2 linked regions of the Danio rerio genome follow. The protein of the gene in region 1 purifies or fractionates together with the protein of each later gene. This does not show direct contact. Links are inferred from orthologs where the notes say so. Each region holds a gene or a part of one and is shown on either strand. Other genes may lie near its edges.

The links. The genes of interacting proteins can lie anywhere in the genome.
Region 2: the proteins of tsc22d1 (region 1) and nrbp1 purify together in Homo sapiens (affinity purification with mass spectrometry; 6 studies listed by BioGRID and IntAct, with this or other methods). This does not show direct contact. The link is inferred for Danio rerio from reciprocal best matches to the Homo sapiens genes TSC22D1 and NRBP1.

What each region holds. Positions count from the first base shown.
Region 1 is NC_133184.1:20,414,859-20,421,391, reverse strand, and holds the start of tsc22d1 (TSC22 domain family protein 1), read left to right. Parts: upstream 1-2,439; 5' UTR 2,440-2,990; coding exon 2,991-5,590; intron 5,591-6,533. UniProt on the Homo sapiens protein: Transcriptional repressor. Acts on the C-type natriuretic peptide (CNP) promoter. Acts to promote CASP3-mediated apoptosis.
Region 2 is NC_133195.1:28,698,647-28,705,153, reverse strand, and holds part of nrbp1 (nuclear receptor-binding protein), read right to left. Parts: exon of another isoform or gene 6,125-6,507; intron 5,004-6,124; exon of another isoform or gene 4,399-5,003; coding exon 4,345-4,398; intron 4,253-4,344; coding exon 4,189-4,252; intron 3,287-4,188; coding exon 3,231-3,286; intron 1-3,230. UniProt on the Homo sapiens protein: Required for embryonic development. Plays a role in intestinal epithelial cell fate and proliferation, thereby involved in the architectural development of the intestine potentially via the regulation of Wnt-responsive genes.

The DNA.
Region 1 (6,533 bases):
ATATATATATATATATATATATATATATATATATATATATATATATATATATATATATATATATATATATATATATATATATATAAAATGTATACATGATCACTGCACTTGGGTCATTTTACATTTAGGCGCATGTTGTCAGTTCTTTATAAAAGCAACTCAAAAATTGCCAGTTTGATGTAATAATTCACAAGATATGTGTAAGACATTTGGTGCCCTGTCATTTTGAGAGCTGTCTGTTTATGAGATCTGCATACTATTAGCCACAGGACCATAGCCAGAGAGGGGCTTCAGGTCGTTCAAAGACCCATCCCTCACTGACAAAGGTCCAGAATTTTTTTTCATACATTAGCTCATTTGTCCTATTTTTACTCATATGCCATCATAAATAGTGAAAATAACCTATCGAAAAACCCATCAAATTACATGTTTTACAAGAGAGACTAGAAACATTGTGAAGCTCTATATTATTGTTGTTATTATTATCATTATTATTATTATTATTATTATTATTATTATTATTATTATTATTATTATTATTATTATTATTATTATTATTCAAATGGTCAAATTTTTTAAAGAGGAACGTTAAATGTGCTGAACAGTTTGTTATTTATATTTTGCCAAATAAATGACAATAGGCTTGTTTTTAATTTAAAACAGATTATTTTTTCCATAATGATATATAAATGTAATAAATTTGTATTTTAAAAAATAAGTATTTTTTTCATATTTCAAGCTAATCCGACTAGCCAATCCAGCTAAATGAATGCTTAAAATGTATTTAAATCTCATAATTAAATAGAAAATGTAGATTCATTTATTCATTCATTTTCTTGTCAGCTTAGTCCCTTTATTAATCCGGAGTCGCCACAGCGGAATTAACCGCCAACTTATCCAGCAAGTTTTTACGCAGCGGATGCCCTTTCAGCTGCAACTCACCTCTGGGAAAGAAAATGTAGATGTACAACTATAAAAAGGTTCACTTTTTGAGAACCACCACTTTCACCAGGCTTGCTGTGGGCCTGAGCTTAGCCCACAAAACAGAATATTTTTACATATAACAAGCATTTTTACACATAGATGCTCAAAAAATTAACAAGAGTCTTTAAAATCATTATCTGTTCTCTGGATTTGCCATTAGTAGGTCCGTTTGTGTTAAATGTTCATTTGTGTTGTAGAAGAAAAAATAGTACTCTGATAAGGTGTTTTCAGAATTACAAATAAGAATATTGTCATTTAGAAAATGTATTATATATTAAATTTTCACATATTCTATTACATTTTCACATATGACACAATGACTGGGTTTGTAAACAAAAATAAAAAAATCTGAGAACAAAAATCTAAGAACCAAATGATTTGTCAGACAAATTCCTTTCCTGAACAACTCACAAAAATCCACTATCAATCCATTTTAGAAATTGTTGGGATGAAGAAGTTTTTATTCACTGCATTTATCTTTTTATTTCAGAGACAGATTGTATAAGTTTCTGGTAGAATGTATAAATAATCAGTGTGGGTATAAATATCTGAGGTTTATAATGCGAAACTTGTTCCAGACAACAAAGATGGTATTCTCACAATCACAGCTGAAAGCTAAATATAGTTGGATCAGCACACATGTAATAAATTCCTGTTGTATTATAGTGTAGCTTGTCTGAAACAAAGCATATATTTTGAGTTCACATTTTGGATATTATTCATGTTAAAGTAAAACAGCTGAATGTTTTTTTTTTGTGTCTGCTGCACCTAGAACTTTAGTTCTCTGCTCCCCAAACAGCAACAATCAGATTGTGTGAAAAAAAAAAACTGTGTCAGTGCAGATGTGTTTGGTTGCTCTTTTCTGTCTGTGGAAATATCTGGGTTCTCTTTCAGACGAGTTGTTTTGTAAAAACAGAACAAATCTCTGGACTATGTTGACAACATTGTTGTCACAAGGTCTGTTTGCATCTTGTTGATGTAGCTGGCCTGTATAGGCCAACACACACAATAGCAGCTAACTTAAAATAGCGTTTTGCTTAATCGTTCATATGTTTAATCTGTAGTAGGTTATATTTTATAATTAATTTATGTTCAAAATTAAATCTGAAGTCGATTTTTATAAATATAAAATTTTATACATTTAAAACTGGGAACCAGAAATCTATGCCCTGCCTTTTTCGTCTCTCCTTCAATGTCAAATAATAATAACCACGGCGGACAAAAGATGTTATTCTGAGTGTTTGCTGCCACAGTTACCGAAGGCTATAATAAGAAACACCCCTCAACCAACACAGTTGGTCGCACTCGGCTCCACTCGGGCCTCTTCGGAACTCTTCGTCGACCGTCTCCTGGAAACCCCCCTCCCTCCTCGCCTCCGCCCATCCTCGCCAGACTCTCTGGGCTTTATGTCTGGCCGGGTGGACGTGAACTGCCATGCGCGGTCGCCATGTTATCGCGCTCTCCTCCCCTTTTCGGGGACTCGTCACAGGCTCATAGCACTAGCACAGGCTACATTACAAGGAGGCAGCTGGTGAATAGGAGCAGAGTGGGAGAGAGACATTGCGCTAACACAGGAATAAAACAAAAGAAAGCACGGGATGGAATAAAGCAGGACAGCGCTGAGTTGCTCGCTTTCTCTCTGTCATCTGACGCCGGCTGGAGGACTTAGTTTCGTGTGATTTCGTGCTCTGGTGACTGCGATACAACAATTGAAAATGCGCCTGGCAGTTTGAACTGTGATGGGGAGAAACCGTGTCGTTATAAGGTTGGATATTAATCGCCTCGGCCGTCTGTGTCGACTCCTGCACGCTTAAACTTCACCGATATGGTGTGCTGAGTGATTTAGTGAGGATATACCTTTGAAAACAACAGCCGAAGCGAATCCGTGTCGGCTAGCTCGCTAGCGACTGTTAACTTAGCATTGGCATTAGCCTGCTCCTCATGGTGGACATTTAAATACACCTCAAGTGGAATTATTGTGGCAGTTAGAAGAACGTGTTGGTTTTATGTGGAAATTACTCGAACGGCTTGAAGTTGCTTTCCCAAAAGAGCTTGTTCTCTTGAGCTGCGTTTATAACTTTGTCAGAGACTATACTCCAGCAATGAATCACCACGAACGATCCGGAGACTCCGGCAGCGCCCGAAAAATGGTTTACCCCATGAGTTTACCCAGACGGGAGAACAGCAGCAGCACAGTAGGTGGTTCCTCTACATTGACAACTTCAGCAAGCACCAGCCTTAATAGCAACAACTTGATGCTGGCGGATGAATATTCCCCACCAGTGCTGATTCAGTCTCAAACGCAGACTGCGTCCTCGCTCGGGCCCCAGAACCCTCCGCATAGCCTGAGTATCCCCTTGCAGACACCCATGTTACCCCAAACGTTGCCCACTGCAGTTGCACAGATGAAGAAGAAGAGTGGCTTCCAGATCACCAGCGTCACCCCGGCGCAGACATCTGTGAGCACCAACAACAGCATTACAGAAGACACAGAGAGTTGTGACGACCTGGATGAGTCCCACACAGAGGACTTGTCATCCTCTGAAATCATGGATGTGTCTCTTCCACGGGCCAACAATTCAGGAGGTCCTGAAAGAAGCTCCTCTGAGGAGACGCTGAATAATTTTCATGAGGCGGAGACCCCTGGTGCCCTGTCACCCAACCAGCCACCCATTATAACCCAAGCACACCTGCATGGCACCATGGTTAACGGAACTGTTCACCACCACCATCACCACCACCACCATCATCACCATCATAATCCTGTTTCCTCTGGAAAAACCCATCCTGCTGGAGGGACACTGATTGGGGTACCTTTGGGTGCCCCGGTCACATCTGTGGTGACCTCAAGTTCGGCTAGCACAGGCCAGAAAATGCCTTCAAATGTGGTGGGATTGATTGAGAATGCCTCTGTTGGCACAACTAGTGCCATCGGACAGCCTTTGGCTACTCTCGCCTCTGGAACTGGAGTGATTTCTGTGACTTCAGGTGCCACGATTAGTACTGGTAATACTTTAACTAATAATGTTTCCGTGTTAAACTCTGCCAGTGTGCCTGTTGTGGGTGGCAAGACTACCAATAGTAGCAGTGTAAACTACTCCTCTGCTTTGAATAGTATTAGTAACCAAACCCCAAACTTGACCCACGTTCCCAGTGGAATAATCGGCATGGGCATCACCGCTGCTGCCACGGTTTCCGGTAGTGTTGCGTCAACAGGTGGAGGGCAAATGGGGCCAGCTGTCATGGGGCAGCATGCAATGCCTGCACCCTCTGTCCCAGTGATGAGCGCTCAGCCTCAGCAGGCCCAAGTGCCTACTCCTGCCTCCACCAGTTCACGTTTCAGAGTGGTCAAATTGGACTCTACCTCTGAGCCTTTTAAGAAGGGTAGATGGACTTGTACAGAGTACTATGATAAGGAAGCCCCAAATGTGGCATCCTCTGAAAATGCCCCTAGCACCCGAACAGTGGAAAGTATCCGTCAGTGTGTGCCTGAAAGTGTGGCGGGACAGGACCGAGACACAGTCAGCGGGAGCTCTGTCAGCAGCTCAGCTAGCCATTACACTGAAAGTCTGGGCAGCGGTGAAACGGGCGGCCCCTCTACTGTGAAGCAGACCTTCCAGCAGCCCATGTCTCAGATGCAACCCCAAGACTTAGTTCAAGTGCATCTTAAAACGAATGCAGCAGCTCCGATGCCGGCAACAGCAAACATTCAGCAGCAACCGCCTGCATCTATCGGAGGATTGCAGACCACGATTGTTCAATCGTCTGCACCTCTACCCTCTCATATGCCCAAACTGACATATGCCCAAGCAGCCCAATCCCCTCCTGCTCAAGCTCTGCCTGTGGTGACCCAGCAGCAGATGGGCTATCCGCCCGCACAGCAGCCAGCTGCACCAGCCCAGGTAGCACCAACACATGTTAACCCCTTAAGCCAGGGAGGCAGCCTGCCATCTGACTTCTCCCAATCCAAGCAGATCCTGAGCACTGTGCCACCTGGGTCAACAAAAACTCTGCCCCACCTGTCCGCCTCCATCCCTCCTGTGGCTCTCGCTGGTAATGGTCAGATGATCACACCCTCCTCGCAGCCCCCTACTGCTCAGCCACTTCCGCAAGGGCTCCTGCAGCCACAACAGACACCCGCCCCGCAGATGGTCCAGGTTGTGCCGCAGCTGGTGCAGTCCACTGGCACCACTCTTATACAGCAGACACCAGGCCAGCAGCTCACCTCACAACCCTCCATGGAGCAGCAGCAGCAGTCACAGCTCGGCAGTCAAGCCCGTGGCACCCAGTTCGTCCCAGCCGTGACCTCATCAAGCGTGCCTCCTAACATTCAAAGTGATCCCCAGTCCAGTTTGTTTCAGAACGGCTCAAAGGAGACTGGGCCGCAACCTGCTGTTAGCACCCGGCCCTCGGTGATGCCGCTGGAGGATGCCCAGCTACTTCTGTTACAGCACCAGGCTCTGCTCGCACAAACCAAGCCAGCCGGTGGTGAAAGTGCCTCCCAAACCGGTACCTCTCGTGGTCCAGAGGGAAGCAGTGGAGTCAATGCCTTATCCGCCTCGGCCAGCCTGCTGAAGAGTTTACCTGTTGATGGAGAGGAGGATGGGTAAGTTCCACTGCTTGTTTTTTTTAATTGCATTGCTTATTTCAGTTCAATTTAGTTTGTAATTATTTCAGCTTTATTAAAAAAATCACACATGCAGCTCAGCATGGTGATCAGCATTATGCTTTAATCAACTGCTATCAACAAATTGTAGTGTGCAGTGAATATCACAGCAGGGCGATGGCTTTCCACAGCATAGCTAAAATCGCAAGCATAGCTTTTTTTGTAACCTAAAACTGTAGACTGCTAGACTGTATCTTTGGTATTACAGACAGAAAGATTATGCTTTCACCTAACAAGAATTTCGGTCTGCTTGGGGGGAAAAAGGCACACATGAAATCACTTGATAGTGCAGTATTTATGAACTTGACATTTCCTATTGAGACAGGAAGTTGAGCCTGTAGTCTTTTGTTTACCTCACAGCCTCAGACTTTTTTTTAATGCTAGTCGGATGTGTGTGTGTGTGTGTGTGTGTGTGTGTGTGTGTGTGTGTGTGTGTGTGTGTGTGTGTGTGTGTGTGTGGGTGTTACTGATAGGGACTTTTTCATTCTAGAAAGTTGGCCTGTACAATATATTGTTTCAGCATAGATTTTGCAACATGTGACTCTGCAATATTCACACTGCAGGATGTGCAATGTTGAACTGGGATTATAGTTGACCAGACACTACAGTGGAGTCAATGCAAAGTTTAAACTTAGAGTGAGTTTTTATTTGTGTGTGTTTTTCAGGCTTGTGACAGTAAATCAGGTAGTTATTTGTAGCTTAAACATTAATTGTATACAGTGCTTCCCACAGGTTTGAAATATACTTGCGCTGGTCACCGGATTGAAACACACCTTTTACCCACATCAAATAAATATTTAATGAGTGACAAACAAAACATAATTAAATTTTTAACAATAATTTTATTTATGAGATTATTTTACACTTTTTTTTTTTTAAATTG
Region 2 (6,507 bases), on another chromosome or scaffold:
TTGTCAAACTTAGGCTGCGTCCGAAACCGCATACTTCTATACTATATAGTACGCTAAAATCACTATGCGAGCCGAGTAGTATGTCCGATAGGGGTGTAACGATACACAAAAGGCACGGTTCGGTTCACGGTTTTGGAGCCACGGTTCGGTACGGTTCGGTTTCTGTTTGCTGTGGGGTTAGGGTTGATGTCATGTTAACAGCAATGCTAAGGGACAATTCACTTAATAACAAGAACATCTTACCTTTTTCTTTATTAACTTTGTCACCGCATTTTTAGTACAGTCAGGATACCAGAGTAAACAACTAGAATTAAATAAATACCTCCAATATAGACTAGTCGGAAAAAAAAACTATTCTCTTTACTGCAGCCATCTTAACTAAGTAAACTAAAATTAAATAAATAACTGCAGTGTAGACCAGTGAAAGATCTTCTTCAAAAACACCATAATATCCACATTCTCCGATGAGAGGCTTGATCTCTGTGCTGACACAGACGCTCATTTTTGATTATATGGTTTCATTTAGATAGATAGGTTTCCGTTTAAATTAATGAAAAATATACATATAATGTGTTTGTAAAGTGTTTTTTCATGACATATTCACCAGTAAAATACATTGCGGTTGTGTCTGAAACTAATGTTAGGGTTGCAGCCGGCTGTATGTTTGCCTCCCGATCTCTCACTCTCTCTCTCTCTCTCCCGCTCCCTCTATGCCGGTCATTTATGTAGGTCCGCCTTCATGAAAGCTGATGCCTGTCATTTCTGTAGGTCCGCCTTTTTAACAGCTGATTGGTCAGGAGACCGACCTATCATCATTTGGCGACGCAGCGCGGGAATGTAAAAAGCAATTCAGGAAGAGCGGGAGAGAGAGCGCTTTTTCCTTTGATCTCGTTTTTCGTGTATTTTTCTGACATGATTATGATTTTCGTTGTTTTTGCTTAACTTTCGCTTGGGTAAAATTATTTTGCATTACTTTTGCCCACTTTAAGAAATTTTGTGAGGTTTGTACATTTTTATTTCAATTGATTTGTATATTATTTTTTAGCTCCGCTCCTTCCCGACAATATAGCTGTATCCTCAAGTTCAGTCTTAGTGTAAGGTGGATAGGGAAAATGTCATACGATTTCCATTTTGCAAACACGTAGAAAATGTATTGTTAAAGACATCAGGTAAGAGGTGAAGGTCATCTTTGTTTATTTTATTCAGTATAGGGAAGAATGCGGCGCACGGCGCTGAAGACCTTTTTTTTCTTTTCATCAGTTTTAGCGAGGTAAGAGGGGTTATTCATGAGTTAGAAGTATTTTATTATATTTATTTCTTTTGTTTGTCTTCACTATCACCCCCTTGTTCGAGTTTAACTAATTTTTGTTTGATACTTTTGTTTGAATTTGTTACTTTATTATATTATTTTATTAGTGTAAATATTACTTTTTTTGTATATTTGGGCATTATTCTGGTTTTACTTTTGTACATTAAATCACTCTTGTTGGCAGTTCTGTTGCTTACACCCTCACATTGTGAAATTACCACACTTTTTAAATGTTTTTCCTTACAAGTAAGTTTCGTGAAACAGTTGAGACAGACAGGCAGGCGCTTTGTCTACGACACAAATTCTATTCCTGTACTCAACTGGAAAACCAAAATGTTTCCACACAGATGACTTAAATGTGTCTGGGGGATCTGCAATCTCAGTACTATGTGAAGCAGCCATCCTGCGTCCAGTAGTAACGAGTGTGATGCAAGTCACATGACATAACATGCACTAAAATACTAACTTTAGAATATAATATTTAGAACAAATCCTCATCATTACTAAAACAATTTAATCAAATATGATATTAAAGATGTGTTTAAATTGGTTCAATTAGTTAGAGACAAGTGACGTCAACCTCAACAATGGGCAGCAGGGGGCGTGACTATTTCGGTTTGGTTTTAATATCGTTACACCCCTAATGTCCGAATTCATAGAACTCGAAAATCAGTAGGGGAGAAGTACCAGGATGACTTACTACTTCCGGCGAGATTCTGAAATGCGCATCCCATGCACGCTGCGCTATCCCATAATGCCCCATGAGAGAATTCATGAATGGAAGTGAGGAGACGCAACTGACGCAGGTAGGTCACGTGACCATGACAAACTGGCGGATGTAGTACGTCCGAATTCCATTCATACTTTTCACATTCATACTGTATAGAGCGTACTTTTTTAACGGCTGAGTAGTATGTTTAAATTCAAATGCAGTAGCTACTGAGTAGTAGGCGGTTTCGGACACAGCCTTAACTTTGTGACAATTGTTTTTTTTTAAATGTCAATCTTCATTGTTCAATCTGGATTAGTTTGATCTTACCAATACTGATCCAAGACAATAACATACCACCAATGAAAGATGAAATAGAAAAGTGGCCTAAAAAAAAGCAGTGACCTCTTACTGGACCAAGCAATAAACTATATACCTCATGAAATATACCAGAAAGAGCTCTGAGGCTGACATTACAGATTAGGATGTGTATGATTTTTTTCAATCCAACGATCATTAAGCATGTACTTATTTCATTTAATCCACACAAAAAATATATTTACAGTTAAATTTGATTCAAATTAAGTACTTTGGTTGATATTTACAAACGTTGTGGTGAAATGACACTAATGACACTATTTTAAAGTATAATTGTTAGTGTTCATGTAGATTAAAGAATCCTTATTAAATAGGTTAAAAATAAAAATTTTATATTTTAAATTACAAACAATTATACATTAATAAGTTTTATAATAAATATATATTTTGAATAAGTTACAAATAAACGCATATGGGTCAAATAGGAGTTGTCCAATTTTAGTGACCACGTTAAATAAAATTGTCAAAAGAATTTAATTATATTGCATGCACATAAAAAGAAAGTAATGTCTACTTCAAAACTTAACGCTTTAGTAACTAAACATAAAAACATGGATTATGTTTTGAAACATGACACTTATGTTGAAACGAAACGACATGCTTGTCCTGACCTGTGCATATCAAAATATAACATGTCATTAAATAATTCTTGTAAATATGCCTGGTAAGATTTTAAAACAAAAACTATTGATAGAAAAACTGAAATTTTGGTGTGAATCTTTAGGAAATGGTGAAAATAAACAAAATACAAATGTTATGTACAACTGGGAAAAAACAAGGTCGTAAAACATTTAAAAATTGTTGTGTTCAGCACATCTAAATGAAGCTTCTTACCTCACTAATGAAACCAAGCTGGACCAGTTCCACAGCCAACTCCTGTACATTCTCATCTAACACACACACACACACACATCATTCTTAAGTTAGTACTGTTTTTGCAATAATTACACATGCAGCTTATTTATTCCACATGCTCATGTTTAGATAGAGTGTTGCGTTTCTTTGATATTATTATAGTAGGTAGTGCTGTCGCCTTGTTTGAGCCTCGGCTGGGTCAGTTGATGTTGTGATGTTGTTGACCCCAAATTATTAAAGGGACTAAGCCGAAAAGAAAATTAATAACTGAATGTCTCTGATTATTTTACTTCTAGTTAAATTGGGTAATTTTTTTTGGGTTATCATTTGTATAAAAAAATATAATTATTTTTGTTTTGTGTTTATAAATATATGCAAATTAGAATTATAAATAATAATTCAGTATAAATAATTCATAATTTATAACATACGTGATGTTGCATTTGTGTCTGCATCAAATAAAATTGATAAATATGATAAAGAAAGCAATCAAATGAAGTGTCCAAATACTAATTAAGTTCTAATCATTTTAATTTTATGAAAATTAGGTGTCAACATGTGGCAATTCTTAATCAATCTGATGCACTTCTGAACAGCTCTAATGCTTCACTGACAGTTCAGAACAAAAACAAGAATGTTAGACCTGAAACATAAAACATAACTATGGTTTAAATCCCTGCTGGATTAAACCGAACATGTACTCGGGTAGCTAGCTAACAGTTTTACCATCTCAGCAAGCTTCTGAGCTAAGCTGACTTGAAAGACAAAACCGACTGCACTGATGCCCATTATAGCATCTCTTGCAGCTGAGAACGCAACACACTTGTGCAGCATTGTAACACGTTTAAGGGCACGACAGAATGTGAAATCCAACTGTGTAGCTGGAAGTGTTTACATAGTTGTGTAGAGTTTGTTTGAGGCCTGATAAAATACTCACTTGGTGCCAAATCACAACTCAAGTGTCGGTTCAGCTTATCTTCCAGTTTTAGAAGTAAGGTCAGCTATAAAAAGAGAAGTGAAGAGTTATGAACGTAGACTAAACCTATAACATCAGCCCAGTAATAAACACAGGGGACACAAAAAAAGAACTTACATGATGTTTCGCTCCTTCCTCAACAGGCTCAATGTTGCACTGCATCTGTACGACCTTAAATGAGAGAAACAGAAAGCGAGCGAGCGAGAGAGAGAGAGAGAGAGAGAGATTATGACAAAACACATGACCCCAAATAACCTAATAATAAAATAAATAATGCTGACTATATCCCATACAAATGTTTATAAAAAGTTCAAATTATGGTTTTATGGATTTGTTATGAAATACAGTAGCCTAGTGACATTTAGAATAAATATACAACCACCACCACAAGCATACATCATTAAAAAAGGAAAATACAGTATATTCTATTACTTCTAAAATGTTAACAATATCATAATAATTGATATAAACATTATTTTATCTAAACTAGTTACTATTTAATTCAAGTTTATCTGTATGGCACTTTTCACAATAATTATAGTTTCAAAGCAGCTTTACAAAACATTATTGCATTACAATCAAATTTAGAAAAGTTAAGGTTATCAATTACCATAACTTTATAAGCTACTAACAATTTTAACTAGTAACTAATAGCTTTTAACAAGTACTATAGCTTTTTACAGTTAACACATGTCAACTGAAGAATTTTTTATCTGAGCTGAGCGTATTTTTTCAGTTGATGCCAATAGAAGCACTGTTTTCAGTACACCAGGGGCCTCATGTACGAAGACTTGCGTGGAAATCTTACTAAAACATTGCGTACGCACAAAGCTGTAAATGTGCGTACGCAGAAAAAAATTCAGATGTATGAAACACTGCGTACGCCGAATCTCACGCATATTCTTTTGTACATCTGAATGAACGTGAAACTGAGCGCAACATGCACGAGCACAAAACCACTCCCTGCCTCCTCCCCCGTATGAATATGCTAATGACTATGCTAATTGCAAAACCCAACGAAAAAGCAACGGCAAAATCAAGCAAAAAGAGAAACTTTGAACAGAATGTGAACTGGAGGTGCTGCTTTCGGAGGTAGACTGGAGAAAAGCGGTGTTATTTGCAAGTTTGTTCTCCGGAATTAACAACAAAAGAAAAAAAATAGAGTGGGAGAGTTTAGCTGATACGGTTAACACAGTTGGGTCTGAACATCGCACTGAGTGCATTAAAAAAGAAATAGTGTGGTTTATATCTGTAAAATGTTGCAGTTCTCTTAGCAGTCTCAGTGGCGCACCTCATAAGAAGCATGTGATCATGTACTGACACGCTCGAGCATAAACTCGGCTCGAATCCAGCGTCTGATAAACTCTTTCTTCTTTTTTCCCTGCTACATATCAGATTTTGCCCACTATTTATCACGAGAAAGACAAGTAGGAATCACCAATAAGTTTGTGCATCATATTTTATTTGCACATTTATTGAATGGTAATGTTTCTGATTCACGCATGCAAATTCATCTTCAGATAGTGTCTTTATAGCAATGTGCGTGCAGTAGATAGCTCAGATTACATTGGGAAAACAGGCGACCGCTGCAAATTGTGCTTTAATGTTTAGCTGGTCAACTGTATGGTATGGAAACCTTATATACCTGCTAGATGAACCTGTCTCATACAGACGCCATTGCAAGGATCAGACACTTTGTAGAGAGGAATTTAACACAACTGCCTCTAGGAGTCGCCAATGGAAATAAAACAGACACGCACAAAAAATGTGCGTACGCCTGCCAGAAAGCTGCCGTGAAGCTGCGCACATTCCCACGTTCAGTTCATTGTTAGTAAATCCAAACGTGAGCAATTCTGAGCGTGAAACCTGGCGTACGCAAAGTTTTTTTTTCCCCAGCAGTACACCAGGAGTGTCTGTTTCACATGAAGCGCTAAGTGCTTTTTAAATCCACAAAAAAATTAAAAATAAAACACACTGTGATAGACTTGTAGACAACTGTATTGTTGGAGCTTAATGTTTCTGCCATTTTCCAATTTAGTGCTGATAAGAATGATAGCTCTTGATTTATTTGGCTTTAAAACTAGCGTAAGTCACTAAGACATTATGGATGCTGAAATAACATTCTTCTGAGCTGATCTCATACTGCTGTTTACTGCATGATGTGAGAAAAATTAAAACAGTAACTGCACTAAAAGTGAACGGAATAGCTTTACTTGCTTAAACCATGGCCTAAAAGAACCACAAGATCTCGACAGTTTGATCTATTAAACGCTTTACTTT